Linked DNA regions of Arabidopsis thaliana. The protein of the gene in region 1 interacts with the protein of each later gene in a pairwise test. Each region holds a gene or a part of one and is shown on either strand. Other genes may lie near its edges. The genes, in order: ACBP4 and WAVH1.

Region 1 (17,601 bases):
TAAGAAATTTGTATTAAAAAAAGATTTTCCTTAAAAAACTTTTACGATTATTAGTATGATCATGACTAAAAAATCCTCTACAACATCGAAAATTGTCTATCTTGTTGGAAAAATATCAATTGGACAAGAGAAAATATATTTGCTAGATCCGATAATATCTGATTTCAAATAAACTAAACTAGATTTTAACCCGCGGTATACCGCGGGATGATTTATTTTTTAAAAGTAATATATATTAAAACTTGCAAATTTTATTTTTATAAAATATTTATATTTTACAATTTATGATTGTTATTAAGTATTTATATATATTAATTGTTATTAAAAATAATAAATTAAAGATTTAACCCGTATTGAAACAGTGGATTAATTATATTTTACTTTTTATTAATGTTGATTCAAAAATTCGTCTTGCCAAAAAGTCATTTATTTTATTAATATTAATTTTATTTATGATATGACTTTGAATTATAATCTAAACATTTTAGCTAATAACTTAGGAGTGTACCATATTTATTTAATAGGGGCCGAATGCACTTTTACCAAAATCCACCAAAAAAGTCTTGCAAAAATACTATAGACCCAAATGTACCATATTTTTTTTTGTGCTAATTTTTATGTGATTAAGATTTAATTGATTTCGTATATAAAATATTAAATCGTTTTACGAACTTATTTGTTTATAATTTGGTAACAGATAGATATTTGAATATTCAGTATATTTTGCTTTAGTTTAGGAAATTTTTGATGACCCGTCTTTAAATCCAATAAGCCCTATAATTAAGAGATGAATATTGTCGTTAAATAATTTTGATAATCTTAATGATGTCATTAAAAGATTTTGTTTTTGATTAAATTTTTCTAATGGCATGTAATTAATTACAAAAAGTAAGGTTATGTACTTTCCAAATAATATAGTAGGATATTGTTATGCTCTAAAATGTTAGATCTAATATCAAACGCGCAGAATTAAAACGCATTTGGTTTCAGTTTTCATGCAAATTTGGTTAATTGTTTTTTTTTTTTTTTTTTTGCAGTTTGATATTGGCTTTAAAATAGGAAACCAATAAAGTTTTTTTTTTTTTGGCAAACTGGAAACCAGTAAAGTTAGAAAAACATTCTGGTTTAAAATCGGTTTATATGTCAAATGTGGATATTTAGAGAAAGAGAGATGTTCTATTCACTTTGAATTTTGATACCCTTCTCCAGATAATACTAGTTAATAATACCTAAGGACAGACTTTTGTTTTTCTTTAATGTAATCTTTCATAAGGAATGATAAGGGACGTAACCCAACAAACCCGTGACGTTGGCCACAGCATCGTTACACCTTGTTAACAGCTCCATCATCTGCAGGGAGATGTCCACCTTAAGCTGTGACGGGTCTAGTGGTGGCTCGACGTGGTCCACTTGGTTATTTACAGGCTTTGGTTCTGAGTCTTGTGAAGAGAGAGGAAGAATCGAAACCGAAAATGGTGACTCTGTTTCTTTCTCACCCAACATGAATTTCACTCGTACTGTTCTGTGGTTACCATTACGGTTATTGCCTGGTTTTTTCAAACAAGACTTGAGCTGGATGTTTGGTTGGTGAACCGGCGGTGCTTGCTCTAGTAGCTGGTTCAATGGTTTAGTGATGGGTTTGTCTGTCTTGGGCCTCTTGGCTTTCTTCAGTTCATGATCTCCGGATGCAGAAGAAGCTTTCATGTCACGGAGAAAGTATGTCACATTCACATTGCCAAAGAGAGATTTGCTTCCTGATACATATCTTAAGGCAGTCTGCGCATCGAGTTTATACAGGAAGCCAACACGGCAGATCGAGGATTTCCAGGAAACTCTGATGGCTGATTGATCCAACTGTCCAAAGCGTCCAAACCTCGCCTTAAGCAGATCAATGGAAGGGAGAGATTCACCAGGAGGAAACATCATGACCAGCATTGTTGGCTCAACTACCATTGCAGATGGACCCGTCTTCTTTTCTTGTTGAACTATAGCTGGTTTGGCATTGATGGGAACTCGACATTGGTCTCTTACTGGATTTAAAGGTGCAAGACTTGATCTCTTTGTTGCATCTTGGTTTGTTTTCTTGTCAGAAGCCAGTGGTTTGAACTGAATGGTTTTCTTTAGCTTCTTAGTTGATGGGACATCTTGTTGACTGTCAGACGATATGCGGTTTCTCCCAGCCTTTGATTGTTCATTAGCTCTGCACAAAGTCTTTGCAGATTTTGACAGTTTTGTTGCGGAAGGAGATGTGGCCAAGCTTTTCTGGTAAACATGTGATCGGAAATGAAAAAAGAACTGCCTTATAACTCTAAAAGAACTTCTATCTGAGGATCCAAAGAGAGGGTCAAGCGAGAGAGCTAGCAAATTACTCAACAGCTGCAGACCATCAAGTTTCACTATCAACATATTGGAGCGTCTCTTTGCTGAATCTACTTGTGACGATTTCTTGGCCCAAGCTTCTCCAGAAGATAACGCTTTCCTCTTATCTGGAGTGTCACGGTTCAGCTCTGACACATACTCTTTCTTCTTTTTCTTTGGTTCTGGAGGACAATTCTCAGATTTCATTTCGCCAGAAGACCGTTTCACGACATTGCCTTTCTTGATCCCAACTCCTGCAGAAAATTTCCCACCACTAAAAAGCTTGAGAGAGCTTTTGTTAGATCTAGAATTTGTTCCAGTCTCATCTTGTTTAAGGCTTTTCATTGGTTCAAATTTCTCCTGATCTGGAAATAGAGTTGCTTTTTCTCCCATTCTCACATCTGACTCTTGAGCTAAACCCTTGTCATCATCACGAGAGAGCTTTGAAACAGAGGATTTCTTTCCAGGAATATTACCACTTGAAGAGGTGAAGTTCATGCTGACAAGCCCAGTCTGCTCATGTTTCCTGGGAGTTTGGAGACATGGAGTCCTTCTCTGGAGTAGACGATCCCAAGCTGAAGATCCGTTGATGCCCTGAAACTGAGAAGATTCTTGGACCTGGCCAAATTGAACTGTCATATCACCAGCTTCTTCTCTTCTTTTTGGAAGATATTTGTCTTGTTTAGTAGAATCCTTTACATTCATAGCTTTTGTGTAGCTCTTTGGGTTGCCCAGAGTTTCTGCACTGACCAATGAGCCACTCAAGGGGACTGTAAACACAAGCAATGCATGAGGAAATATGAAATCTATTCCAACCACCCAACACAATGAGATTTCACAATCCAGAATTTAAGATCAAAGATATGCCATATCCTTTTGAGGCATTCTAAGAATACAACTTCATAGCTATAAATCCTACAATAACAACCTTAAGAAAAGCATTTTTGATGTCGAAGGATACCCAAACCACAAAACTCTCGAATGTAGCCTATATGGCTCGAGAAACAGAAAAACAAACTCAACGAGATCACCAATTTATAGAGTACCGTATCTCTGTGATACATAGGAGAAAGATCTAATAAAACTCCATAAAATTCGATTTTGGAAGCAGAAATATTACAAATGTATTCAAAACAATGCCAGGATCGCTGAAAGGTGAATCTACCTCGAAGGGGTGCTCTATTAAGTGGTTCATGTGTCTTCATTAAACAGTATACAGATCTTGCCCTGAAAGCTTGTTCATATGTTTCATCAAACTCCTCAAACACTGCTCTACGGAATGCACAAACCGCTACTTTCTTCTGGAAAGACTTTAAGCTGTCTGTATCACACTCTTGAGGTGCTAATGCACACCGCTTCACAAAAGCTAGAGTTTGCACAGATGAAAAACTATCCCTAGCTTTCTGAATCTGCTTAGAAGAGTAAATAGCTTGGACCTCGTAATCAGGCACGTCTACAGCAAAGTAACCTTGAGCATTAATAGGCCTAAAGTTATACTGATTCCGACATTTACAAGTCAAGCCAAGAGCTGACCTTCTACCTACTTCATTCATAGCTTCTTCCACAGCTTTTGCAAAGTGATCCGAACTAGTTTGCTGTGATTTCTCCTTCACATGAGGTTCAAAAGGGATAAGCTCAGCAGGATCGAACCATCCATAACTATTATCCCCAAAGAAAGCAACCAGAACGTAACCCATCTTCTTCACACGACGAACAGAGGGAGACGCAAAAGCTTCATTGAATATTTGACCTGGCCACCATGGATGTGACTTTACCTTTCCCCAAACCATATCTCCCACTTCAAAACCATAGCTCAATGCCTTCGAATTTCTAGAACCCATTTTCTCCCTCGCAACATAATCGTCAAATTCGGATAAGAAAGATTTGTAGTCCGGAACTCGCCTTTTCTCCATTTTCTTCTCACCAGATTCGTTGCAGAGCTCATAAAATCGGTGATCAGAGTCTCTAATCTCTCTTTTCATTTCACAAAATCTAGGTTCCGTTTCACTGTTAGACACTCGAGAACCTAAATCGACATTTCCATTTCCATCACTTCCAGTGTCTGCAGCAACCGAATCAAGCTCCATAAGGAAAGCTTCGGCCTGATCAATCATTTCAAATTTCCCGGAGCCATTGCCAGAAAAAGTAACGAAACTATCACCAAAAACCCTAGGATTCACATTCACCTCAGCCGAATTCATTTCTCTCTAACCACACTTGAACCCTCGGTGTTAAAGAGCTTTCATAACAATGAAACCCTAGAAACAACTCGAAGCCAGAAGATGCGTAACTTTGTTTAAATCCTGAGATTGTTTGCTGGAAGAGAAAATTTAAGAAATTTCATGAGAGTAAAGCTGGAGAAGATGACAAAAGCATCACTTGGTGAGAAGGACATTTTGGTAACTTCTCAGCGTCATAAATGGTGATGGTGAACGGTCGAACTTCCCATCCAGTAATAGGTTGCCACGTCATGGGACAAAAAAACGTGATCTTTTTATTTTATTTTATTTTGCTGCCTAAAACGTGATTTTTTGTCCACTTACGAAGTGAGGTAAATTTAATTTAATTTTTAATGCAAACGAAGACTAAAGAGTGAAGAGAGTAAGAGACTCGTAAATATAAGAAAATTATGATTGCTGATCGTAAACTGATTTAGTTTTCATAATTTTGTCAGACACTCCCAAAACAAATATTTCAAAAAAGTTAACGAATATTCTGGTGAATCACTTGTATAACAGAGAACAAAGCTAAACATCGGTAGTAATCAAAGCTCGCTAAAAAAATATCTTATTGGAAGAAGAAACAATGCGAGAGACTCAGACAAAAAAAACTATATATATTTCTTTACTGAAAGCAAATATCGTCCGGAGGAAAATGGCATTACCGGACCAAAAATGATCAAGGCGAATCATCATCTTTTTCCTGAGGGCTTCCAGCGAGCCAGCCCCATACGCCACCCGAGCCCTGTCGTTTAGCGTTCATTGCAGCTTGTTCTGAGGCAGCCTTTTGACGTTGCAGGAGTTCGAGTTCCTTCTGTAGTGTTTCCAATGTTTGAAGCTTTTGTCTTAGCTCTGCAACATCAACCTGCAGATTCGGAGAAAGTGACCCAATTAGATTTGCTTTGTTTTTGTTCTTATGACGTGATGAAGCTTATCAATAAATGACAGAGAAGATATGTGATAGATCCAGTGGTTACAATGGATGAATGTTCTAATCAAGATTCCTATTCATCCTGGAATATGAGTATATGTAGTCATTAAATCACGGGTTTCACGAGATTCCAAATTCTGTAGGTTATGGTACAAAAGAGATGTGGCTACGGTTTAGTACCTCCAGTTTGAAACACCTTGATTGTTCGGCTGCAAGTTGGCCACGAACAGATTGAAGTTCCTACAAAATGTCAGTACAAAGTTAGGTATATCATATTCGAGGAAAAATTCCGAGATTTCAGATGTTAAATGTGAATGCAATTGGAAGACTGCTGCAACCAGTCTTTATGAACGATTGGTTCACCAATTTATTCATGTCGGCTTCTGTTTTAAGAAGGTGATAATATTAGTACCTTGTACAAATCTGTGTTTCGTAATTCTGCTTCTCCTAACTCTTGCCTTAGTTGGAGAGTCTGCATCCTCTCTTTGTTCAGTGATGCCTCCAGCTCTTCCTTCTCAGATTTAATAGTCGCAATAATGCGTTCGCTGTTTCCTTCAACCTGGGGATTAATCACCCAAAACATAATAAGAGTGCGAGAAGGTGATGATCCGGACTGGAGTAACTATATTCTGTGTCGACACAATCACTACCACAGCATATATGCATAAGATGCTTCAATTCTCTCAAACAAATCAAAAGGTGGTGCTATGCAAAATATATTAAGGAGGGAAATTTGACAAGAAGATACCTTTGATCCAGGGTTAACATTGTCCATGACAATTTCCCGTACCCTGCCTTCTTGGCTCACCTCAACCTCAGACTCAATGTCTCTGGTTGTGGCATTATTAACAGCAGAAAGACTACCTGGCAAAGGCGCTTCCAGAGTCTTTGTTTGCAATGTTGATTTGTGGCTTGGTTTAAGAAGATTAATCTAATGCCAGATAAGAATTAGAAGCAGAACTAAATGAAAAATTAAGAGAAATGAACTTATGGGTTCAGATCACAGTCCCTACTTCGTTATTGTAACGTCCATTGTATCCACCAAAAGCGACTAGTACATCTTCACCATTGTATGAACTCACCACTAAACTTAATCCCTGTCAGTAGCAAAGGAAAGGACGATGGAAATGAAATAAGCATGACTTGACTTTTTTCGAAGTCTTGAAAAGGCTTCTACCGTGTTTATTTGTATAGCTATCTGGGAATTAATATGGATAAAGTCTGTTTATTTAAGTACCTCGCTAGCAAGAGGTACACGTCCTTGAACTGAAGCAACGACCGACCATGCAAGAGTTGACATGTTTAGTACAACACTCTCCGATGCCCCTGCAGTAATTTGTCACAAAATTAGTCACCCCACACACACAAAAAAAAAAACCCAAGCAAATATCTTTTGTTCTAGGGGGTGATAAACAGAACGGTTGGGAAGAGAAAATTTCCAAGGGAAAAGTGCATTAACATACCACTCTTGTTATCACCGCCACCAACAATAAACCAGTTCTCCCCAATTGTCACGCCAGCATGTCCAGCTCTTGGAGTTGGTGCATCACCTTGCTGTGCTGGTCTTGACCACTCCATCTATATGTGACAATTATATCAGAGGCTGACAAAGCATGTTTGAGAGCAGCTGAAAGAATAGACTCTTAGCTTAACTTACAGTTTGCAAATCAAGGACATGCAGGTCATCGAAACAGGTTGCATGTGAGCCGCCACCAAAGATAAGAAGGAACCGTTCTGCATGCACTGCAGCAGCATGATCAGACCTCGGAGATGGAGATACACCCCTGCAATTTGACACCAATTTAAATCCTGAATTGCTAATCTTTCAATAACGACTAAGATACTAAAGGAGATAGGAGGTCGATTTCTAACATATTCATATTCTGGTTATATATCTAATCTTAAATGGGTTTGACTTCTTCGAAAGAGAACAAAATGCAGAAACATCATAAAATCTTACACGGCATCTATCTCATCCCAGGTCATCGTGTCTAGGTCAAGTATATGCAAATCGTTCAGAAGTGATCTCTTTGCATCTTGCCCGCCAAATATCACCAAGGTTTTACCCACCATTGTAACTGACTGGCCTCCACGTGAAACCTAAAAGCAAGAGATAATTATAAGAAAGTCTAAATTTAAGTAACCAAAATGCATATTTGACTTCCAAATTAGCAAGGAGAAATTCTGGATTTAGATGCACCTTAACCCTGAAGATATTATGGGAGGGTAAGGAAAGAAAACAACTTTTATTTTTTTGTCTTTTGACGGCCAAATTTTTTTTTGTATAAAACTGTAATATTTTCATACAAAGGTGACAGGAAAGCAAATGAGACAACATGAGAGAAGTGAAGATATACCGGTGGTTTTCCATATGTCTTTAACATTGACCATGTAATGGTATGGGGATCAAAGACCTTCACTGTGACAGGAAACAGTAGAAAGTGATATGTAATCATTGAGATTCCAGAAAAATCTTATAAATATGTGCAAATTATCGTCTTCAAAGGTATATAAACGCTAACCTTGCATAGATTCTGAGGGATCCTTTGTGTGACCACCGATAGACAGCAGCTTGTTGTCCCATGCTATCTACAAAACAAGCAAAGAAGGTAAGTGAATAATGTATAGCTAGAGTCTTCTTTATTACAAACTAATATAGCAAGTGACTTTCATGAAGAGAATACTTTGCTTTAGCTGAAACCCCTCTCCTGAATATTTCTGGGCAGGAAAGCAAAACGATAATAACAAAAACAAAACGAAAAAGTTAATAAACTTACCAAAGAATGACCAGCACAAGGAGCTAACAATGTCGGAGTTGATGTTTCCTGAGATTCTGTTGCAACCTTGGTTTCAACTCTTGACCAAGTCCAACTTTTTAAATCTAGAACCTGTATACATTCCACAGAAGCTTTGCTTAGGAACTGTCACCGGGACTGGTATTGTCAAGCTAGGAGCTGAATATCTCAATTACATTAGGAGCTTATGCTTATAAACCATAGAGGTTGCTTACATGAAGATCACCAAGGTAACGGCCATTGTGATTTCCACCATATATATACATCTTATCTTGAATAACTGCTGCGCCATGCTGAAAAAAATATAATAAACAAGACTTAGAAAAATACAGAAGATACATGAATGACATAACCTTTTACTTATTCTTCAAAAGAGAGAGAAAAAATAAATTACCTCGTAACGAGCTTTTGGACGCTGACCTGATGTTTGGGGTGCAGTCCACTGGTTATATACAGAAACAGTATTTGAGTCTTCTGAGACTACATCTTTATCTTGGGTTTCAGCCAAACGTCCATTCTCCGTAGAAATTGTTTTTGTCTCACTAAATGTGCTCCCATTCTCAACAACAGGCTCATCTTTTGCTCTCTGCTACAAAGATGAATGCACTAAAAAACTCAAATAATTTTCTTCAATCAAGCAAAAGATATGTGTAATAGTTCCCATGGTTTGGACATCGAATCCCATGGGATACCAAAACTTACATTAATTTGGACATCTACAACAGGATCTGGAATATCATTAGATGCCCTCGAATACCAACCAGGATCATCTTCCTGATAAAAATTGAGCAATAGAGAAGAAAGCAAGGTTATGCTCCAGTTAAGTCTTTAAAAAAAAAAAAAAAATAGACCTCTTTGTCGGTTACCTCCAGAATTTTCACAAAGAGACGCATTGCCTCAATGGAGGGCATGGTTCCGAGCCCCTGCCAACTAAGTAAATATGAAATGCTTCAGAACAGTAGCATGTGTATCTTTCAGGAAAGGAACGAGGACAACTTTAAAGTCTTATTTTCCTTTAAAAAGGATCGTAAGCATTAACAACCTCAGTAATGTAGACCAAAAGGTCCAAAACATAGGTAAGCACTTAGTTTTTTTCCCCAGGGATGCACATTCAAATCCTGCATTTCTATTTTCCTCTAGTAGCTTACACTAAAGTACTCCTTTCCCGTTTCCCTAATGCATTTGGATTCTTACGCTCTAGTAATTGATGAAATCTAAGACATCTCCTATTAATATCTACCATGAAGCATATTCCTACAAGTATGATTCACAAACGCAAGAATAGAAATAAAAGAACCAGTGATAAATGCATAAATGTTAATCGTAGATAAGTATGGGCAAAACACAGCACCCAATCTAACCTTTTCCATTTGCTTTGCTCCACTGGTCTCCAGGCACTAGGTTTCGGAGTGTTGCATGGTCCTACAGTAGCCTGTTTCAATGTTAAATCCAAGAGATCATCAGCACTGAGCCTATCTATCCCAGGGATAAAAACTAGTAGACTCGACATTATAATTAGTACAAGAGAACGTTTCTCTCTATGTTAAGGAACAGCCAGTTTCACCCCCTCGTAAGAAATTCATCTACGACTATACTAATCAAGTTATAGAATCAATGTAGATCCAAGTAAACTACGACTGACGGACCAACGCTCCCTGAGATCTAATAAAATAAAACTGTTTCAATCATGTTTCCAATCAAATCGTGATGAGATCTCGGGTAACATTTTACTGAGCATTTCGAATATACTAACCAGGATCGAAAATAACGATCAAGCACAGCTAATCAGACAAGTAAAGTGCGTCATTTCTAAAATCCGATAAGAATTCGGCGAGAGGAATATGAATCGGTGACTAAAACAAAGAAATCAACACCCAAACGACCAGATCTCGTGAAATTCAAAAGCAAAATCCACAATCGTGAGATCAACAATGGAAGAGATCAGAAATGGAAGTTGCTGACCTGCTGGTATAGCGCATAGAGAAGTAGTGCAGTATCATCGGGGAATTTCGAGATGACGTTTTTCGCCGACGAATCAGATCCGTCGAGACCGACATAAGATGCAGCAGCGTAGAACCTCTCCGGGTAAGCGGGACCAGAGGTTGCCCTAGGCATAGCCATTTGTCTCTCTCTCTGACTACGACCGCGGATTTGATCGGAGATGGAGAAGCCAATGAGCAGAGATAGGCGTTTTCTAGTTTCGTTTGTTCAAAGATACAAACTTATGATTACTTTAAATTATTTTCATTAATATAGAAACATATTCTCAAAATTTAATATTTAATTGATCAAAAATTATAGTAATTGCTTGGTGCAGTGTTTATATAGCGAGCGGCACGATCAAGAAGACATGATTATGCTCGAAACTTTTCTCTTTTTATTGTCACTTCGTATTTTTGACCTTAATCATCGTAATCAACTCAATAGTGTGAATTAATTAAGAAAAACAAAGAGACCCTATCAATATGAAGAAAAAATAAGCTTTGCTTTGTAGTATCTTGTTTCTTTTTGGGTTTTTACAATTTGTTTTCCGATCCTTTACATTCAAGAAATTATATTGAACGATTTCGCAGTAGTGTAAATTTCCGATTTCACCTCTGACCAAGCTGACTCTGGCGCTTGAGCGTTCAGTGTATAAAGCCGGCCACTGTGAGCGCAACAAACGGCTACATTATGCCGCCGGAAAAGAGGTGATTCGACTTTAAACTCCAACTCGTAGTACTTCAAGTTTCTCTCTGAATCTTGTCTGATACTTGATTCTAGCAAAGTTCCTTTCAAATCTGCTCGTTGACCAGATCCTGTCACTGTTCTTACTATTGCCTCTCCTACTTCTTTTGGCCCTCCAAACGCTTCGATTCTATATCGTAAACAATAAACACTTTCATAAAACAGATTCCGCTTCTTGAAATAAAATGACAATTGCTCGTCAAGAAAACATTGATGCTTATTGGCAAAAGAAAAAAAAAAACATTGATGCTCATCGATCTAGGTCACTTTATGATCTTAACAATCATAGCGAATCGGGTGTCTGCACTAACTTCTGTGATAGATTCAAAGTAGTAAAGAGAATCATGTACTTACATTGAGATATATTGTTTCACTTCAAACATGTACTAAATGTAATAAACAATCTTGAAAATTACAACTTTGAAACTAGTTGTTAGACCACTAAAATAATCGATCTAGTCTTACAATTTTTTCTCATGATCAATTAGATTTGTTTGCAAGATCTAGTAAACCATATCACTTAGTCGTTACCAGTTACCACAGAACAATCAAATGTTTCTACTATAAGAATGATGTTTTTTTTTTTTAATGACACGTCAGCTCTAGGGCGATTTTCTTGGCGACTAGGGTTTTCATTCTTTTTCAGCAAGCTAGGGTTTCAGCGGCGGCTTGCCGTCGGTTTCTCATGTCCGACCAGGTTTTACCAGTCTCTTCTGAGGCAGGAACAGTTGGTTCTCCATCTGGATCTGTCCAGCAAAAGTCCTATGCAGCAGTAGTTACTAAACGGCCTTCTCTGAAAAAAGATGAATATGAAGTCTCTGTGCAAGACGGTGTCCCAACCATTGCAGTTCCGAAAGAAGTTATCACTGAATCTGTCCCTCTCTGGGATGATTTTCTGGTGGGACGGTTCCCATCACAAGCTCCGCATGTCGCTAAGATCCATGTCATAGTCAATAAGATCTGGACTCTTGGGGACAAAGCAATTAAGATTGACGTCTATGAGATAGACTCTACTTCAGTAAAGTTTCGAATCCGTGACTCCGCCACGCGTTCGAGAATAGTCAGAAGAGGGATGTGGAACATTGCTGGTTTACCAATGATTGTTGCCAAGTGGTCTCCGATTAAAGAAGAAGCCCAGCCAGAGATTAAAACAATGCCGTTGTGGGTCACAGTGAAGAATGTTCCTCATTCCATGTTCTCCTGGGATGGTTTGAGTTTTATTACAAGTTCAGTAGGAAATCCAATACGGTTACATCCTGAAACAGAATTATGCACAAAGTTTGATGAAGCTAAAGTTTTTGTTGAAGTAAATCTTTCGCAAGACGTTCCAAAGTGTCACAGGTTCAAAATTGAGGAGGAAAAAGATGTTATCGTGGAGTTTATTTACCCCTGGTTGCCTCCCAAATGCACTTGTTGTAGTAAGTGGGGTCACCTAGTGGATGTTTGTGTGAGTAAGCTCAAGCCTCCAGCGCTGGTGATAGAAAGTGAGCTAGAAGAAGGTGAAGTTTTAGCGGATCCTTCTGCTTCTGCTACCACAGTGAGAGTTGCTGACCATGAGTCAGCTAATAGTGGGAATAAAGAGGATGGGATTCAGAACTCGATTTTGATTTCTCAGGAGGTTTTTGAACAACAAGTGGTAGCAGAGAAGGTGGTACCACCAGAATCTCAGTCGGAAGGAGATGGTTGGTCCATAGTCTCCCCAGGTAAAGGAAGCAAAAGTACAGAAAAGTCAAATGGGAAACCATTAACTTTTGGCCAAGCAACAATTTTATCCTCTTCTCGGTACTCTGTCCTGAGTGATCAGGAGGAGAATGGGGATAAAGATGAGTTCCCCACAATCTCCTCAGAGGAAGTCATTGAGACGGAGCGAACGAACTCTATTGATGACGTTGTCTCTACTCAAGCGATCGAAAAGAATTCCACTTCGGATAAAGAGAAAGCAGGAGCGGTGAGAGTAAATCTTCCTCGCTCCTCCAAGAGTTCACACAAAGTCCTTTCGGAGTCTTTTACTCAAAAAGCTAGAGACAATGTCTCCAGCAATTCGAGCAGAAGAAACTCCAAAAAACATCATTAAATGTCGGGGTTCTTCTGGAATGTGCGCGGTTTTAACAAATCAAATAAACATTCCGTTGTTCGTGATTGGGTGAGAAAGGAGTCTTTAACTTTTGGGGGTTTATTAGAAACGAGGGTGGATGAAACTAGTGCTAGCAAGATCATTTCTAAGGTATTTCCTGGGTGGTCTTCTATGACTAACTATGAACACCATCGTTTGGGACGAATTTGGGTTATTTGGAAGAGTTCGGTTCGTGTCACTCCGGTTTATAAAAGTGGACAAATGATTACTTGCTCTGTTTTGACTGAAGAGAATGCAGAGGAATTTTTGGTTTCTTTTATCTATGCTTCAAACTATGTGGATGAGAGGCGGGAACTTTGGGAAGACTTGAGAAATCATTACAATATGCCAATGTTCCGTACCAAAAGTTGGATGATTCTTGGTGATTTTAATGAAATTCTGGAGGGGGAGGAGCATTCAAATTTTGTTACTTCACCTTTTATTCCGCAGGGTATGCGAGATTTCCAAGAAGTCGTTAGAGACTGCTCTCTAGCTGATATGAGCTATCATGGTCCGGTGTTTACTTGGTCAAACAAGAGAGAAGAGGGGATAATAAATAAAAAGTTGGACAGAGTTCTTGTTAATGAAGAATGGAATCGTAAATTTCCTGCGGCTTATGGCACTTTTGAAGCAGGAGGGTGCTCGGATCATTTGCGGTGTAGAGTAACGTTGGCCTCTGCAACTCCGATACCAAAAGGTCCTTTCAAGTTTAATAATGTCCTCACCACAATGCCTGAGTTTTTGCAAACTGTCCAAGACTTTTGGGCTGGTACTCCCGTGCTTTATCATTCAACCTCTGCTATGTTTCGATTTTCGAAAAAGCTAAAGAGTCTAAAGCCTATTCTCAAGTCTCTAGGTCGAAATAAGCTTCATAATCTGTCTGTTCGTGTGGATCAAGCCTATACATCCTTATGTGAGAAGCAGAAACTCGCTTTGGAAACAGCTTCTTCTGAAGCAATTGCAGAAGAAAATCAAGCTTACACTCAATGGAATTCTCTAGCAGTCTTGGAAGAAGGTTATTTGCAGCAAAAATCTAAGTTGCATTGGTTGGATGTAGGAGACCTAAATAATAAGTATTTTCACAATAGTGTTAAGGCCAGGATCGCCATGAATTCAATCCGAGAAATTTTATGTTCTGATGGCATTGTGCGTACGAGCCAAGAGGATATAAAAGAGGAAGCCGTGCAGTTTTTTAAAAGGTTCTTACAAGCTAAGCCAGAGGATTTTGAGGGCTCTAGTGTCAGCGAAATCCAGAGTCTCTTATCTTATCGTAGTTCAATTTTGGATCACGAAAGATTATTGAGAGATGTCACTGAAGAGGAAATAAGAAAGGTTCTATTCTCTATGCCGCAGCATAAATCTCCAGGTCCCGATGGTTATACAGTGGAATTCTTCATACATGCTTGGCCGGTTTTGGGTAAAGACTTTGTAATCGCTATACAATCTTTCTTTCTGAAGGGTTTCCTGCCAAAAGGTGTAAACACCACGATTCTAGCTTTAATTCCTAAGAAGCAGGAGGTTAGTGGTATGAAAGATTATCGCCCAATTTCTTGCTGCAATGTGTTGTACAAGGTCGTCTCGAAGCTTATGGCTAATCGGCTCAAAGAAATCCTCCCTGCCTCTATTGCGCCAAATCAATCTGCTTTTATTAAAGACCGATTGATGATGGAAAATCTGTTGCTAGCTTCAGAACTAGTGAAGGATTACCATAAGGATTCAATATCTAGCCGGAGTGCTCTTAAGATTGATATCTCGAAAGCTTTTGACTCTGTACAATGGCCTTTTCTGATAAATATTCTAAAAGCTATGTGCTTACCAGATATTTTTATCCATTGGATTGAACTCTGCATAAGTACTGCTTCTTTTTCGGTTCAGGTGAATGGAGAGCTCTCGGGTTTTTTCCGCAGTGAACGGGGTCTTCGCCAGGGCTGTTCTTTATCTCCATACCTCTTTGTCATCTGTATGAACGTTCTCTCTTGTATGCTTGACAAGGCAGCTGAGGGAAAACGGATTGGTTATCATCCTCGGTGTCGTAATATGAGTCTCACACACTTGTGTTTTGCCGATGATATAATGGTGTTCTCAGATGGAACTACTAAATCCATCAAGGGCACTCTTGAAGTTTTTGATAGGTTCGCGGCTATGTCAGGGTTAAAGATAAGCTTGGAGAAATCAACAGCCTTCATGGCAGGAATCTCTCCACGAGCTAAGGAAGCTATTCTTCAACAGTTTCCTTTTGCGTTAGGTACATTACCGGTTAAATATCTTGGCCTGCCTCTACTTACTAAGCGAATGTCGCAGATGGATTATCTTCCTCTTGTTGAGAAGATACGAACTCGCATTACATCCTGGACCACTCGGTTCTTGTCTTTTGCGGGTAGATTACAACTGATCAAGTCTGTTCTTTCTAGCATCATTAACTTTTGGTTCTCTGTTTTTCGATTGCCGAAGGCTTGTCTTGTTGAGATAGAGAAGTTGTTTTCAGCTTTTTTGTGGTCTGGTCCTGAACTCAATGCTAAGAGAGCTAAAGTAGCTTGGTCGGAAGTGTGTAAGCCAAAAAAAGAAGGAGGGCTGGGTTTAAAGACTTTAAAAGAAACGAATGAGGTTAGTCTTTTGAAGCTTATATGGAGAATACTGTCGGCTCGGGATTCTTTGTGGGTTCAATGGCTCTCTAAAAACTTGATACGTAAGGAATCGTTTTGGTCTGTTAAGGGAAATTCTTGTATGGGATCTTGGATTTGGAAAAAAATACTTCAGCAGAGAGACAAAGCTAGTCAACTCCATCGAATGGAAGTACGTTCTGGAACTTCCACATCCTTTTGGTATGATCATTGGTGTCCGCTTGGCAGACTTCATCAACTGTTAGGGCCACGGGGAATAATAGATCTGGGTATTGCGAGTCATGCTACAGTTGCTGAGGTCATGAATACTCATCGGAGAAAGAGACATAGAGTGGATCTTTTAAATCAGATTGAGAATTACATAGCGTTGGCTATACAAGACAGAGGCACGGAGAGTGATCGCTCACTTTGGAAACAAAAGGAGGACAGCTTTAAGTGCTCTTTCTCTTCTTCAACTACTTGGCAGCGAATAAGAACCATAAACCCAAGCTGCGATTGGTATCGGGGAGTCTGGTTCTCTTCTGCTACTCCGAAATTCTCGTTCATCACTTGGCTTGTTTTTCAGAACAGACTTGCGACGGGTGATAAACTCCGCAAATGGAATTCTGAAGCTTGGCATAGTTGTGTGTTCTGTGATGAGGAATTGGAGACACGAGATCACCTTTTTTTTTCGTGTCCCTTTTCCTCTCAAATCTGGTGCTCTTTGACAAAAGGTCTTCTTCATGGTCGACGCATCTCGAGTTGGAGCCTTATCACTCCACATCTGCTGGATACATCCCGTCCGTATCTACATCTCTTCACTCTTCGTTATACTTTCCAAGCAACGATCCACAGTTTATGGCGAGAGCGTAATAGTAGGCGACATGGGGGGCTTGCTATCCCGGTAACGCAACTTGCAAAGATCATCGACAAGAATATTCGAAACAGATTCAGCACGGCTATAAAGTCTGGGAATACACGACTCCAAGGCGGGCTGCAGTTTTGGTTTCAAATCCATAGCTAGAAATCATTCTAATTGTTCTTAACTCTTTTAGATTCTTTTAAATCATGTCGCATTCATTGTAACAATCGTTTTTTTGGGTGAATATATTTTTACATTCTTTCAAAAAAAAAAAAAAAAAAAAAGAATGATGTTTTTACTTACGAGAAACTGGGTGAGACAGGGGAAACGATAACACTGACATTAAGCTCACCGGTCGAACCGGGCGGTCCAAATGCAACAACCGGTTCATTAACGTTTTTCCGGCGACTGTTTCTTGCCGGAGGAAGGTCTAGCGAATTCTCCCGTTCTGACTTCTCCGCCGCTCTATACAAAAGCGTCTGGTCTCCAACCCACGTAGCCGGATATATAAATTCTGTGATTACAAAATTGACAATCATTTGATTTATCTTCCAATTGGTAATATCTTAAACCGGAGAAATTCGATGACTTACTAACCGAATCCTTCAACCGTATCGATACATCTGCTATATCCTCCAATCGGATAAATGACGTCGAGTTTTAGATTCCGGCCTATCCCTGGCGATAAACCGAGTATAAAACTCGTGGTTCCTCCGAAATTCGCACCAATCGCAAGAACAGAGGACGATCCTACACCCAGAAGAAGCCGTCGGTTGAATTTCTCAACCAGTGGAGAAAACTCCTCGGCCGGGGTAGTTTTCAGGTCACCGGAGGGTTGTTGAGCGATTAAGAAGTTGGAAAGTTTTACATTAGTGGGAGATGAGTATAGTAGAGAGAAATAAGGTTTCAGAGACATTTCTCGTCTCTGTTCGTTAAGTGAGGTCGCTGAGTGTTGCCGTCGACTCTCTTATCACCTCGAGAGGGAGATTATACGAC
Region 2 (14,880 bases), on another chromosome or scaffold:
TATGTTCTTGGGTTCTGCTTAAAACTTTTTAATATGGAATTTCATATGGGAAAAATCTTTATGTTCTTTCGATTATTTTCAAACGACGTTGTTTTGGACAGATTAACAGTCATTAACGGGTTTCTAGGTTCTACTGATAAAGACATGTCTATTTTGGCCCTGTAAACGAATTTTTCATGTCTTAAATGGTAGTCAACGTTTAGTTCATGTTTTAAATGGCCACATAAGAAGTTGATGTTTAAAATGGCCACAATTTGAAACTTGACTAATAAAGTTAACGGATGATAACGGACGTTAGAAGTTCCGTTAATGACTGATAACGGCATGTCTATTTTGGCCTGATCAATGAAAGATCATGTTTTAAAAATTAGTCAACGTTTAGTTCATGTTTTAAACAGCCACATACGAAGTTGATGTATAAAATGGCCAATTTTTTGAAAGTTGGGGGATTAAATGACATTTTTACCGTAAAAAATAGTAGTTTTGCAGTCTTAGCATTTTTAAATCATTTGTGATTACTAAATAATATAATAAATATTCTATTATTTATCTTTTATATATGTTAAATAAAGCATAATATTTTTATATAATAAACTAAAAAATAATTTGGCAAAAAAATCCTGAAAAAATCATCTATTATTTTTTGTTGTTTAATACCTAATATTTTTTATTGGAATAAAAATACCTTAATTAAATATATTTAGTCTAAAAGTACCTCATATTTAAATTGTTGATAGACTCAAAGCTAAAAACAAGACAACAAAGCAAACAAATCATATGTCTCTTTTGGCATCAAGTGGAACATGAGTTGCAAGTTACGTGTCTTGTCTATCTTTGTCTCCAACCCGTGATGATAAACTGCAAAAGTTAACAACAAAGTCTTGTGACATATAAGGCCAAATATGACTTGTGACATAAGATAAGAGACAAAACAATATCATAAAAAGCATTAAAGCAATATCATACATAACATTAAGACAATATCATACATAAGCAAAGTGATTTGCAATAAAAACAGACAAAGCAAATTAAACATGTCATTGTTGTGACATTGAAACAAATCCTAGAAGTACTTAGAAAGAAATTAAACATTTGAAAGAGGTTCGGTACTTATGAAAACAACTCCTCAATTAGCTTCTTCTTAAGAACCAAGTCACACTCTGAAAGAGGTTCGGTTCTTGAAAGAAGACTTTCAAGCATTTGGTTTTTGCTTTGCTTATCCTTACGATCCCAATCTTTTTCCTTAAGATCCCACAAAGAAGTCAAGTGTTCAACTGAATTCACTTCTTCTCCTTTAACTGTTGGTGTCATCTTAGCTTTTGCTTTCGCAGCCTTCACACCCGGAGGCCGACGCATTACATCATCATCTTCAAGATCAATAGGCTGTGAACTTGCAGCTTGAGTACCAACTCGAACCTTCCTTCTTTTCGCAATTCCTTTCCCTTTAGGAGCATTAGATATTAACCACTTTTGGTCATGTCGCAGCAGCCTCCATGCATGATCTAGACTGAACTTCTTTTTCATATCATTTTTAAAGAGCTCATTTGCAAAGAGCATGACATCATTCTCGGTTTGCCCACTTGCTTTTTGGTTTGTGGTTGTGGCATAACAGCCCACAAACTTCATGACTAGCTCATTCATCTTCGCCCATCTTTGCTTACATTGAGCCGACGCTCTCTTTGGAACACCATCAAGGTCTGGACTTGCTGCAACATAAGAAGCAATCCTCTTCCAAAAAGCTGGAGCTTTTTGCTCATTTCCGACCACGGGGTCTTTGCTAGTGTTTAACCAGGCACTAATGAGTACTATATCCTCTTTAGCTGCCCATTTCTTTCTTGCAATGGCCACCCTAGAAGCATAACGTTTCTCATGACTTTCTTGACAACGTTGAGTTCCAAAAACGGGAATTTCTGAGGATCCAACCTCATATTGATTGGTCTCATTGTTGTGGCTTTCTTGTTGACTGTTGCAACAAGTCCATAAAACGGGAAGCTTGAGAAAATGGATTGTAAGAATCCATTTACAAGTTGCTTTGGATGTTTAGAGTAGAAAGAAGGGTAGCTATGTGTTTAAAGAAGAGAAAAGTTAACTGAGAAGCTATGTGTTTAAGGAATAGAATGGTTTAAGTTAGTAGCTTTGGATGTTTGGGTTATATATAAACTGCTTCGACATTAATAATTTCAGTTAAGGCAAAAAGATTTTTAAAAGCAAAAGTTATGGTTATTAGTCGTAATCAACTTCAAGCCATTATTATGGTTATTAGTTGAAATCAACTTCAAGCAAACATTTATCATTGTCTAAAGCTCACATTTATCACTATCAAAAGCTTTATCATTTGTCAAAAACCATTTATCACAGTGAAAAGCTATGTAACGTCTATCCACAAAAAAAATAACAATCAATGCTATATAACAATCAATCAAGTACATATTTACCTTCATTGAAGTGCATAGACGAATTCCTTTACAGTTTCTCCTTAACTCACAACCACTTGCTCATCCGCCATTGACACTCACCAAAAGCATAGAGAAAAAAACAACAATTAGCATTTACAGTTAACTTTACAATTTGATTCAATCACATAAACAGATATTAAACAACAAAGTTTACATTTACTAAACCCAATCAATCACATCTACATATACATTAAAAAGAAAATCAAACTATCGAACGATCTATGACCATATAAATCTATACAACATGTCTCCAAAACGATCTATGACCATACAAAACTATAGAAAATGCTTCAAGATATATCAAAAAACACCCTAATCTTGCTACAAACGAAGAACCCTAATTTTAAAAAAAGAACCCTAAATTTTCTTCAATTCAAAAACCCTAATTTTTTTGATTAAACCACCAAATACAACATCTAATCACGTAATAAAGACTAGAATTGATTCATACCTAAATTGGGGAAGGCGTCGGCGATAACTCTCCGAATCCAATTTGCTATTTTTCGATTTCAGCAAACTTCCGCCGATGTGAACACCGTTGAAAGCCTAAGATAACACAGCGAAATACAAACAATCACCGGCGTCAATTATTCTGGTTTTTCAAAGATTGAGCAATTTTTCTTTTGTCAATGTCGCGAAGAGAAAGAGAAGGAGAGAGAGAAAAGAATTTGTTCGGGCAAAACAAAGAAAATGAAATCAATCATTTTTATTTTTTTCTTTTGTTTAAAGAAGATAACCAATGAATGTATGCCACATGTTCGCCTCTCTCATTCCCTCATAAACTCTCTCCACAGAAACGCTTCTCTAGTTTTTCTTTCAGTTTGATTAAATTTTAATCAAAATAATCAACAGAGACTCTGCAAAATTTCAACAGAGCCCAGCGTTGGAGATGGCCTAACGTCCATTACAAAATCACTAAACAGACCTTTGGTCAAGTTGGTATAATCTTGTGATGCTAGTTTTGTTACCTACACAAAACGGGTTTAAAACATCAAACATCCCACGTCCCCTTCAAATCCGAAAAAGCTATATGCCAGTCTATAACTATAGAGCTTCGGTAAAATTGCATGATGTCTTGTGATGGGGTTACATATCAGAAGTCCACCCTGGTATTAACTACCATGGAAATAGACTAAACCAGAGGCGTAGCCACGTGACTTTTTTTTAGGTTAACATAATGATTGTTTGGAGAGAATTTCCCATGAAATTCGGCAGCTGCTACAAGAGTGGACGACGATTCCTCATATAAATTATCAAGCTGAAGCGACGAGAAAAAGCTCCACACACCACATGATTCTTCTTTAACGTCGCCTTTCTCAACTAAGGCGAATAAGAGGCGCGGCTTAGCCGATGACCTGGTCAAGAACAAGTTCTTGAAATATGGACTACCAAACATTGATGCCCATAGCTTCGACACACAATGAAACCTCGCTAATGACTTTAAAGGTAATCTCGACAATATCTCCATGATGAGATCATTTGATTTGGGAGTCGGAGATAATGAATCCTTGTTTGTTGATACGTTATAAACCTAGAAACCCCTAGCGAGAGCCGAGAGACCTAGCTTCTTCATATATACATTTCGTTAACTTGGAGAGGACACCTCAAACTGTCGCATTTAATTTTAATTAACTAGGCCCACGTAAAAATATTCTCGGCCCAAATAGTTACATTGTTGAAAAGAAACCGATCAAATCCAACGGCTGTGATTCATTCATCTTCAAGATCAGAGAGATTGATTATTTCAAAGAAACTGAAGAAGAAATCTGCAAATTCATCTTCTCTTCTTCCTCCGATTCCATCTTTCTCCGTTTCCGGCGATAATCTTCATCGCTTCTTCAGGTTCATGTTTTTCCAGATTCTTTGATGCCTTTTATGTATCTCTGACTCTCCACGGTTTCTTAATATGAATTCTTCTTCGCTTCATTTCTGATTCGCGATCGTCAGATTCTCTGGTTTGTTTGAAATTCGAATCCGTGTGTCTGATATTTCGATTCCTGGATCATTTGGTATGAATAATCAGAAAAAATGTTTGGTGTTGCATCTGATGCGTTGATTCTGCTACTATGCTATGAGAATTTGAATTGCAATGAATCGATTAGATTTAAGAACTCCTCTGAACAATGAGTTGATTAATGGAGATTATAGTGGTTATTGTGGATATGATTCTTTTGGTTATTGATACTTGGTTCCTTCTTTCATGTAGTTGATTATCTTTAGAATGGAGCTAAAGAATGTCAAAGATGCGTTTGATCGTGTTACCAAAAAGCAGAAACTATGCTATAGCAAAACGCATGAAGTGGTAGACAAAATGTCTCAAGAAATCGACAAGGCATTGAAAACGATACAGGAGGATAATCATGAATCTGTTGTTGCTGATCTGAAGAAAACTTTTGAGGAGATTGCTCCAATCAATCTACTAGAAGCGTCTCAGAAAGAAATAAATGGGGTTCTTACCAAATACCCGAAAGCTCTTGACAAAACTCTGAATCCAGATATATCGACGGCTTACAGAAACGTTAAGTTTGATACTCATACAGTTCATCAGATACTAGCTCAGTTTTTCTACAGGCAAGGCATGTACGACGTTGGTGACTGTTTCATTTCCGAGACTGGTGAGGTTAAGCCTGAATCTTCTGTTACTAAAGCTTTCATGGAAATGAATATGATACTTGAAGCCATGAAAGAACGGGATCTCGGACCAGCTTTGAAATGGGTAGCTTCAAACTCTGACAAGCTAAAGGAAGCAAAGTCAGATCTTGAGTTGAAACTTCACAGCCTTCACTTTTTGGAGATAGCTAAAGACAAAACCTCCGAAGAAGCTATCAACTACGCGAGAAAACACTTTGCTACGTATTCAGCAGATAGCTGCTGTTTCCCTGAGATACAGAAACTCATGTGCTCTCTCTTATGGATCAGAAACCTCAATAAATCCCCATACTCAGAGTTCCTCTCACCTGTATTGTGGACCAACGCTGCCAAGGAACTAACCCGACAATACTGCATCCTACTCGGTGAATCACCAGAGAGTCCTTTAAGTGTAACAGTTGCAGCAGGTTCACAAGTTTTACCGACGTTTTTGAAGTATTTGAACGTGCTGCCGGAGAAAAGAAAAGAGTGGCAAACAATGGAGCAACTTCTTGTACCTGTGGAACTCTCTGAAGAGTATCGCTTCTACTCGGTCTTTGTCTGCCCTGTCTCTAAAGAACACTCGAGCGAAGATAATCCGCCGATGAGATTGGCTTGCGGTCATGTCCTTTGCAAGCAGTCTATCAACAGAATGTCGAGGAATGGTTCAAGGTCGTTCAAGTGTCCTTATTGTCCAACAGATATTGATGCTTCGCAGTGTAAGCAGTTATATTTTTAGACTAGCTTTACAACTTCTTATGCAGCATTTCTAAAGAAAGTAGACAAATGTTTCTTATCTTTTCTTTTATGAACTTGAATTGGGTTCGTGTACAAAAACTATAGTTTGAAATAAAACCTTTTATACCCATATGGTCTTTGGTCTAGTGGTCTTGAATTTTGAATGACAGGAAGATCCGTTATCGCGCCAACTTTGATCACTTGCCAAGACAGAACTTACCGATTCATCATACGACCATCATTCGTCGTTCACTCACCAATGTTTCATTTTTTAAGTATTGATTGTCGAATATCTTTATCTATACGAAAATGGAAACGTTAAACTTTGGTGCTTCGAAAAGAAAACACTTTAAAATTTGGTATATCATTCACTTAATACAATACAACCCCAAGGATCAAACTCTTTATGTTTGGAGAGCTTTTTGAGATTCTTAATGGATAAAGTACATTATAAAAGAGTTATTAAATTAAAGATAAGTATTTAGGGTCATTTTGTCTTCTTGATCATTTCAAAACTCTCCTCTCTCCACTAACATAAATTTGTGAACTACTTTTTGGCTTTTGGTCTACATAAATTAATACGTGTCCATGTATATACTAAATCTTGAACTTGTTTAGATATGATATGAACTTTTAGATATAGTCGTGCGAACCATTATTGCATCTCTTTAGTGGAACGCACCATCGCTTTCCAAATTAAACGTACCAAAAACATTTGCTTTCAAAGTTGTTTTTGGCTTTTATTCTCTTTCTCTCTGTTTGACTAAAGTTACAAGAATTTATTCAAAACTTTTAAAAGTTGGTGGTATACGTTAGTCGGGCTAATAAAATGAAAGTATGTAACACTTAGGCCGATGCTTATATATAACACTTAGGCCGATGCTTATATATAAGTTTTGTATTTTTAACAAAAGTGATATCTTTTAGCAATTTATTTTCGAGTAGTTCAAGAAGCTGGTTGAGATAGACATGTGACTAATTGACTAATCAAAATTTCTAAGATAAACTTACATTTAGATAAATTTAACCGGTTTGGAATACACGAGACCATCCAACGACAGATCTATCTACAACAACTTTAAACTTTTTGTATCCATAATGTAAAAAATATATATGAATTATGCGTAAATCATATGATTCATATCTCGCATCTTGTCTTAAAAGTTCACAAAATCAACTACTAAGTCAAGGGGTTTCTACAACCATTAATTTATCTAAGAAGTTGATAAGTTTCTTTAGTTAATTTCGGATAAAACTATAGATAATGACCGATCAATCGAGATACCTACTGAATCTTGTGTAAACATTGATCTTTTGCGGCTAATTGCTAGACAATTGGGAAAATATGATGCATTTTGTGCGTAACGCAAGCGACTCCCAAAAGAGATGTGGCATTACTCATTAGCAATCATAGATTCATAGTACTATGAATTCCGGCGTTAAAATGATAAGAGAGGTGTAAAAAGCCTACGAGACAAACAAAAAGGAGACAGAATTCCGCCGTTAAAATGATATCCTAAACTCAATTATTAGCATTTGCAATCATATTTATAAGGCTTCTTTAGAATTGTTTATTGCTGATTTATTGTATTGCTTAGAAAATATTTTGTTGACCATCATTGGATACAACGAATTTAATCAGTGTGTAGCCGCGAAAAGGCTACATCCCTTGTTTTTGACTACATTTTAGTATTTATAATCTACACATCCATTACGAAGAAGTACACATAGAATATAGGCTCTATCTAAAAAGTTTCACTATAATAATTGTAAAGCACAAAAATATATATATAAAAAGTTCTCATAAGAGATTAATTAAGTAAAAGAAAAGATCATACCATGTTCAACACGACTAATGTATGTTATAAGCATTTCGAATGCGTATAAATTTTACAACAAAACAAATGGAAGAGCTCTAGTCATGTTTTCAGTCAAATATCACCGGCCAATTCATTTTACATTGATTTCTTTTTCTTTCTTTTTTGCTAAAATTCATTTTACATTGACATTTTACACGAGTTTCTCTAAGCGTGTAAGATTTTAGTATTGAGTGTATATGATAGTGGCTTAATATATAGTTTGTTCTTTATACAATTTTAAATATTAAGATTGATTTGGTAAAACCTACTACCTAATTCCCTAACCAAAATTGTATAATCAACTTTACGGTGAGAAATGAAATCGCATAAAAGCTGAATGATATAAAATAACTATCCAAACTTATCATTTGACCAAATATAACTCCATTTATGCACCATTTCTATTTGTTTGTATCAGATTATTATTACACAAGTTGTTACTCTAAATATGGAAATATATTTAAATACATAAAAAAGCTAAAATCTAGCGTTTTCGAAACCATGCAAGTCACTGACTCTGTTCATATGTTTCCTCACCATCGCCACTTTAGCCAACCTCTCCGCCGCTTTCCAAGCCGACGTCGGAGTAAGCGACTCCAAACTCTCTGATGCCGCCACGTGTCTTCCTTTCACACTATTAAGATCAGCTATCTCTGCGTCCAGTCCACGTATACACGCATCGCTCGAGCTCAAACCGTGCTGCACAAGCAATGCTCTAGCTGACGTCAGCAATCTATGAGCTCCGGAGTAATGGTTACGCTCTATTAGCCGCCGAGACTCCGCGACGGCTCGAGTGCTGACGTGGAGGTTTCTGAGCCGTGAGATGTTGGGATTTGATGATGATCGGACAGTTAGAGGAGTAGGTATTAAAAGCGCGCGATCTTCGGGGTTTCTTAATTCCTGAGTTGTTGGATCCACGTAACGAGATCTAACGGTCATGATTTTGTGAGATCTACTACCGGTTAAGGAATTGTTAACCGGTGATTTGATTTCAACCAGCAACGCTCTTTCTTCCTCCGCATACATATCACCTAACCGGATTGAACCGGTTCCAAGCCAAGCGGGTCGACCGGAAAGAGAGTAAACAGAAGTTATCTCTCCTTGACCCAACCCGGAAACTATCCCGAGCTGTAAACCGAGATCCTGAACCGACAAACTCAAATAACCGTTGATGGTCCTCGCAAACGCGTCTTCGGGAATCGCGTGGCTAAGCCATATGGTGTGTATAGGGATTCTCGAATGGGCTAATTGGGCCACTTGATGGGCTTGACGGTCCGTTAAAACGAACACGGCGGTGAAAGGGTTTTTCTGCCGGCGATCGTCTAACACCTTAACCGCTTTCTTCAACGCGTCGTTCACACTCATCCCTTCACCGGAGAAATCAATTCCGACGCCGGAGACAGAACCAGGAACGGTGATGATATCTACGATTCTTCGCGCCGATCTCCTCCCGTTCGCCGTCATCCTCCGTAACGGCGATAACCGTTTCGAGCTGGACGAAAACGCAATAATCGATAAACGATCCATCTCCCGGAGATTCGAAAGCACAATCCTCATCGTTTGTTTCAACATCTCCAATTTCCCACCGGAATTTCTCCCGCTTACGTCTAAAACAGCAACCAAATCCACCGGCACTCTACGCGCAAATCCACGCGCCGTCGGAAACGGTGGCGATTTCACCTTCATGACGACGGAGTAAGTCTCGTAGCCTTTACCCGACGCAACGATAGCCGATTCCGGAGAGAGCTTAACGTCCACGTTTCGATCCGTTAACAATTTCGCCGTTAAAGGTGACGGAGTATTAACGGAAAATCCTGTAAACTCCTCGCAGTCTTCGTTCTCATCTGATTCAAGTATTGTGTGAAATCCGGCGGGAGATATCGGAGATGAAATCAAAGCTTCGTCATCGTTGTAAACTCTCAACGACTTGTTTTTAATTTCCGGTTTGATTTGAGATTCCGGTTTAGCGTAATTTCGAATCTCAGGCAAAAGCGAGGATCCGCAAACCGGACAAGAAGCAAGACGGTTATGATTCGCGGCGGCGCGTGAGGTTACGCAAGGAAAATGAAACGTGTGAGAACACTCCGCCGTGAAAATCGCCGTACCTTGACCTGATTTCACACTCTGTAAACAGATTCCACATTTGTTACTGCTACTCTGCTTGAATCGGAGTTTGGATTTGAGGAGAGTGAAGCTCGCCGGAGAAATAGAAGAAGAAGAAGGTGTTAAAAGAGAGACAAGGCTTCTGTTTCTGGGAGTTGTTTCTCCGGTGGTGGTGGTTTTGCACTTAAGCTTTGGAGTTCCGGGAAGAGATGAAGTAGTGGAGACGGCGGTGGCTGTTGAAGTCCTGCAACGGAGGCTGTAAGTTCCGGTGCCGGAATCAGAACGAGGCGTAGAAGGAGTTGAGAAAAAGCCGAATCGAGAGGTTGATTTGTGGCGGAGACCAACGAGTCCGTCGTCGTCGACGTCGTTTTGGTTAGTTTCTTTGGGAATGGAAGTGCAAAAAGCTCTTCTCCAGCCGTTTAACATATTTGCTTCTTCTTCTTCTTCTTCAACCTCGTGACTCGTGTGTTGTTGTTGTTTGTTTGAGACTGAGATTTTGGTTTTTGGTTCTGTGAGAAAGAGATTTTAAGAAAATGAGAGAGTTGCAGAGAGAAGGTGGGAGAGGTTGAATTTAAAAAGGAGTCTTTTTTGTTCAATTATAGTGGAAGATTGGGGATATTGGGATTATCTATATGATTTTTTATTATTTTATTTTATTGAGAGAATTAAGAAATAGTACTAATAGTAATTGACTACCTAAAAAGCTGTAAATATTTTAGAAGTTACTCTATTTGTGTAATTGCTTTTCTACTCCATGGTTGATTATAAGAAAATGATTGATTTTTGGTATTAATCTTTTTCAACATAGAACTTATGAGCTACATCTATTATTGCCCCACTCATTTTAACCTTTTAAGTGATAAAGCTTGTTTACCACCTAGATTAAAAATATATATATATATATTATATAAAAAATTGAACAAGATAAACTTAAAGGCTTCAACCTAAATGCTATGATAGCAGACTGACTATATGTATCTGCTAAATAACTAAACTAATTATTTAAATTTGTAAAATTACTTTTAACTTTACAATTTTACTCTGAAGTTCATTCACAAACTAAAACATTTTGTAAATTTATTTTATAGATATCACCTACTTTTATATGAAATCAAAATATTTTATCAAGAAGAGATCCCTTGTTCTTTTATTATTTTATTTGATTACACGTTATTCAGTAAAAAAAACTTTGGACAAAAACGTTATTTAGTAAAATAACATGTATATGTATAAAAAAATATATATGTTTGTATAAATACATAACAACATTTTAGTTAAATCGTTCAAATAAATATTTTCACTTGCTTATGAATGTTTAATAGTATTTTGGCTATCTAAAAACTTACCAACAAGAAAATATCCAACTATAGGTGATGTCAACCTACGAAGAAGTCTCACATGTCTATTTACATAAGTGGAAGCACTCGTTCACTCGTATGAACAATAAGATGTATGATTGGTCAAGACAAACAAGAAGTAACGTTCTTTACAGATTCCTCAGACTTGATAAAAGTGGTGTCTTTTCCAACAAAGTGACCAATCTTTGCTACGTATTTAGAGGCGATTCATGAAGACAAGGATGTGTTTGATTTTTATATTTATTTTTATTTTTTTGAAGTTAAAATGTTAAAACAGATTATTTAGCACGAAATGTTCATATCCAACCGCATTTTATTACTTTTGTAAACAAGATTTTTAACATCGGTTTATTTAAAGTAATCTAATAAAAGGGTCCATTAAAAAAAAACTTGTTTAGCACCGAAATTTTTGTAATAATGTCTAGTTATTAATGTATGGGCTATACATATATGCTATTATGCCCTATCGATCCGTCTAGTCTCACGCTAAAATTTTTGACTGTCTAAATAGTTGTTATTGGAGAATCATTTGTTGTTTGACCGTTATTGTGTAACACACTATTGAAACTTTGACAGAATTTAATGTAGTAGATGAGCAAATATGATTGGGTTAAATTAATACAGTGCAGTGAATGTATAAACGCATAGATTATGGGATCGATCTATGGATGTGAGCCAATTTTAACTTGTTTATATATCGATCCATGTAAAACATTTAATGTTCGAATCAAGACTTGATCCGATAAGCCATCATCACCTGGTGAATAGAAAATAAACATGTTGCCACCACTAGCTAAGCTATAACAATAATACCAACTACATTTCTTCAGCTATTTATTGCTAAGCTATAATGCTGAAACTGAGGTAATGTTCGTATACTGATAATAACGGTGGATGCAGTAAAAATGTTATAGGTGATGAATGGTTTCTTTCTTTTATCTAGGCCAGTGCATAATACCCGAACCCGATCCAAAAAACCCGATCCGAAAAATCCGATCCAAACTCGAAACCAAACTTTTAAAATACCCGAACGGTTCTAAACTTTAAAATCCAAAAAATTCGAACATATCTCAAATATAAGTATATATTAGTTATATTTATACTTATATATAGAAAATATTAGGATTTTTTTGGATATTTTAGTTATTTTGTGTATTTTTAGATATATTTAAGCAAAGCTACTCGTATTGTTTTGGAAATTTTTGAAATTTTCAAATAATTAAATAAATTTACACACAAAATTTTGATATTTCAATATATTATTATTATTATTATAATAACATTTCTTTGTCAAAAGTAAACTTGCTCGAACATAAAAACGTATTTTTGTACAAACTACAAAGTAAACACTAAAGATAGGGTACACATTTGTTTTTTTGGTCGACAAAAGGGTACACATTTAAATAAATCGAAAAAGCATTTCTGAAAAATACATATCACCAAGGACATAAGTGTTACTATCAAATAAAAACAAAAGTCGACCTACGACTACAAGAGGATCAATGCTATAGAATATGGTACGAGTTAAAAAAATAAAGTGATCGGCAAAAAAACAAAAGAAAGATGATAATGAAGGCATCAATAAATGTATTGATAGTGAATGGCATGGGAGATAGGACGAAGATCCCCAGAAACCAATTTATTACAGAGACGCCAAAAGAAAACCATAGCTACTGTTTTAGTCTCTGTACTCTTGTGTTACTTTTATTAAATTGTTTGTAATAGGTCGGTCCATTTTTTAAAATTTATCTCTATCCCATCTCAACTAGTTATTGATACCTATCACCTTTTTTCGCCAAACTTTTTTTTTTGTTTGTTTGTCTGTTTTTGTTACAGCTTTTAACGTACATTTGCATGCATACCTACGTGTTTGGCTATTTTGTAGTATGTTATAGGACCAGACACATATTATTGGTGTAGTCTTAAGCTACTTTCATAGACTAATCACACTTTGACTACTATTATGCTAGTATGGTTTCTTGCGTTTTAAAAATACCAAACGTTTTATTGTCATATTTCATGCAAGCAAAGTATTTGTGGAGGTAGTAAATTATTGCATTGTTGTGCTCGACGCTTTAAATTTTGTGTGAATAATCATACTTAGGTGCAACAGTTAAAATGCAATTACTCAAGTAAAATATGAAAACTCTGTCTGTCTATTGAATATCGATGATGAGATTCATAATATATCTCTGAACTCTGAAGGTTGATCATTTGCCTTATGGCAGGCTTAGCATTATGCTAGTGCGTAGTCTAAGATATTTAGGAAGCTCTATTAACATTTTGAAACAAACTTCTCAATTCCTCCTTAGGAGATTATCAATTCGTGCTTAGCAGATGAACCAAATAATCCAATATTTTCCCGGTTTTACTTTTATATAATGGCGCCACCAATACTAATCCAAAATTTTGAACTTCTTTACCAATGGCCAGGAACCTCATTCAATAAGGCTTCGTTTTATGATCAGCTGGTTCGTCATTAAGGTATATAAAGACCCACCCAAAGTTATTCTGTTTTGATAATAACCAAAAATAGTGTTGGGAATATTTCTCCTAATACTCTATTACTTATTAAATAGTCATAGCAAATGTTTTTATTTTATTTTATGTAAGGAAATCATAGCAAATGTTGCAGAATATTTTTAAGATGTATTCAGTAACCTGAAGAGATGATCAAATGTGTTATTCAATCTCATTTTTTAGCATGAGTTAGTGAAAGGATTTGATATAGAGTTATGTACATGATGAAGTTACAATTTCGAACGACTTGCCAATGAAGTCATCTATCTGTTGACCTTTCAATGAGATTTGAAAATTGTTTAATAAAAAGTTATGGATATAAATTAGCTGGATTCTATTTTTTTTTTAAATGAATTTTAGCCACACCAAATATGTACCCCTACAAAAATTATATTTGTTAATAACTTCCTTCTCTTATATTTGTTAAAAACTTAATATACATGTAGTATGAGATGGAGTTATCGGATGTCTAATAACTTAGTTAGTCATCGTATTCCACCATTTGCAGAATCAATGCATTATTCACACAATTTAGAATATTTTAAATCCCTAAATTTTAATAAATAAATAAAAATCATAATTATTAGTTTGTAGTGATAGTGAGCAACAAATTTAAATACGAATAAAAACATGTATATGTGAATTGTAGACAAAAAGACATAGACTATAGTCAAACCAAATATTTAGATAATATAGTTAATCATTTCGTATCTAATATCTTATTCTTCTGTCTTCAAACAAAATTGTATATATCAATCTTAAACATATGAATATTAATTGGAGGAAATGAACAAACTAGAAGAAAAAATATGTTTTCTTTTTAATGGGTATGCTTAAAAGAATGAGTACAATGAGTAAAGGAGGATTAGAAATTAGAAGATAGTGGTTTGTTGGAGTGTATATAATAAGAATAATTTGACTGAAACACATAGCTTAAGTAGAAGAAAGGTTTTGGGAGACACAGCCATATGATCTGTCTGTGGACCGATCCATGATTATATATTAGTTAAGGCGATTAGATTTCTATGTTGTGGTCCATTAATTATTTATTTAATATAATAAGTCATAACTATGTATTATTTTGACGGAAAAAAAAGTATGGATTATTTATCAGGATAGTAAAATAAAATTTCAGTTAATTACGTGATATTTGGAAAGTCCACCCGATTAATTTATATATACAATATTTATATAGCTACATATCACAAACGAAATTTT

Evidence for each region.
Region 2: the proteins of ACBP4 (region 1) and WAVH1 interact in a two-hybrid assay, tested with the Arabidopsis thaliana proteins (one large-scale study listed by BioGRID).

Annotation. Positions count from the first base shown.
Region 1 is NC_003074.8:1,554,703-1,572,303, reverse strand, and holds ACBP4 (acyl-CoA binding protein 4), read right to left. Parts: upstream 10,634-17,601; 5' UTR 10,425-10,633; coding exon 10,266-10,424; intron 9,736-10,265; coding exon 9,665-9,735; intron 9,234-9,664; coding exon 9,170-9,233; intron 9,078-9,169; coding exon 9,006-9,077; intron 8,893-9,005; coding exon 8,698-8,892; intron 8,597-8,697; coding exon 8,519-8,596; intron 8,397-8,518; coding exon 8,286-8,396; intron 8,098-8,285; coding exon 8,031-8,097; intron 7,928-8,030; coding exon 7,866-7,927; intron 7,609-7,865; coding exon 7,469-7,608; intron 7,293-7,468; coding exon 7,166-7,292; intron 7,087-7,165; coding exon 6,972-7,086; intron 6,835-6,971; coding exon 6,746-6,834; intron 6,606-6,745; coding exon 6,522-6,605; intron 6,440-6,521; coding exon 6,257-6,439; intron 6,068-6,256; coding exon 5,921-6,067; intron 5,749-5,920; coding exon 5,689-5,748; intron 5,443-5,688; coding exon 5,257-5,442; 3' UTR 4,968-5,256; downstream 1-4,967. Other genes in the region: AT3G05430 (Tudor/PWWP/MBT superfamily protein), read right to left, coding at 1,267-3,128, 3,524-4,559; AT3G05425 (uncharacterized protein), read right to left, coding at 4,699-4,830; AT3G05410 (Photosystem II reaction center PsbP family protein), read right to left, coding at 10,848-11,160, 16,909-17,119, 17,203-17,521. UniProt on the Arabidopsis thaliana protein: Binds medium- and long-chain acyl-CoA esters with very high affinity. Can interact in vitro with oleoyl-CoA, barely with palmitoyl-CoA, but not with arachidonyl-CoA. May function as an intracellular carrier of acyl-CoA esters.
Region 2 is NC_003071.7:9,640,763-9,655,642, reverse strand, and holds WAVH1 (Zinc finger (C3HC4-type RING finger) family protein), read right to left. Parts: upstream 10,374-14,880; 5' UTR 10,211-10,373; coding exon 8,159-10,210; 3' UTR 7,988-8,158; downstream 1-7,987. Other genes in the region: AT2G22690 (zinc ion binding protein), read left to right, coding at 4,678-5,823. UniProt on the Arabidopsis thaliana protein: E3 ubiquitin-protein ligase involved in the regulation of root growth. Acts as a positive regulator of root gravitropism. Possesses E3 protein ligase activity in vitro.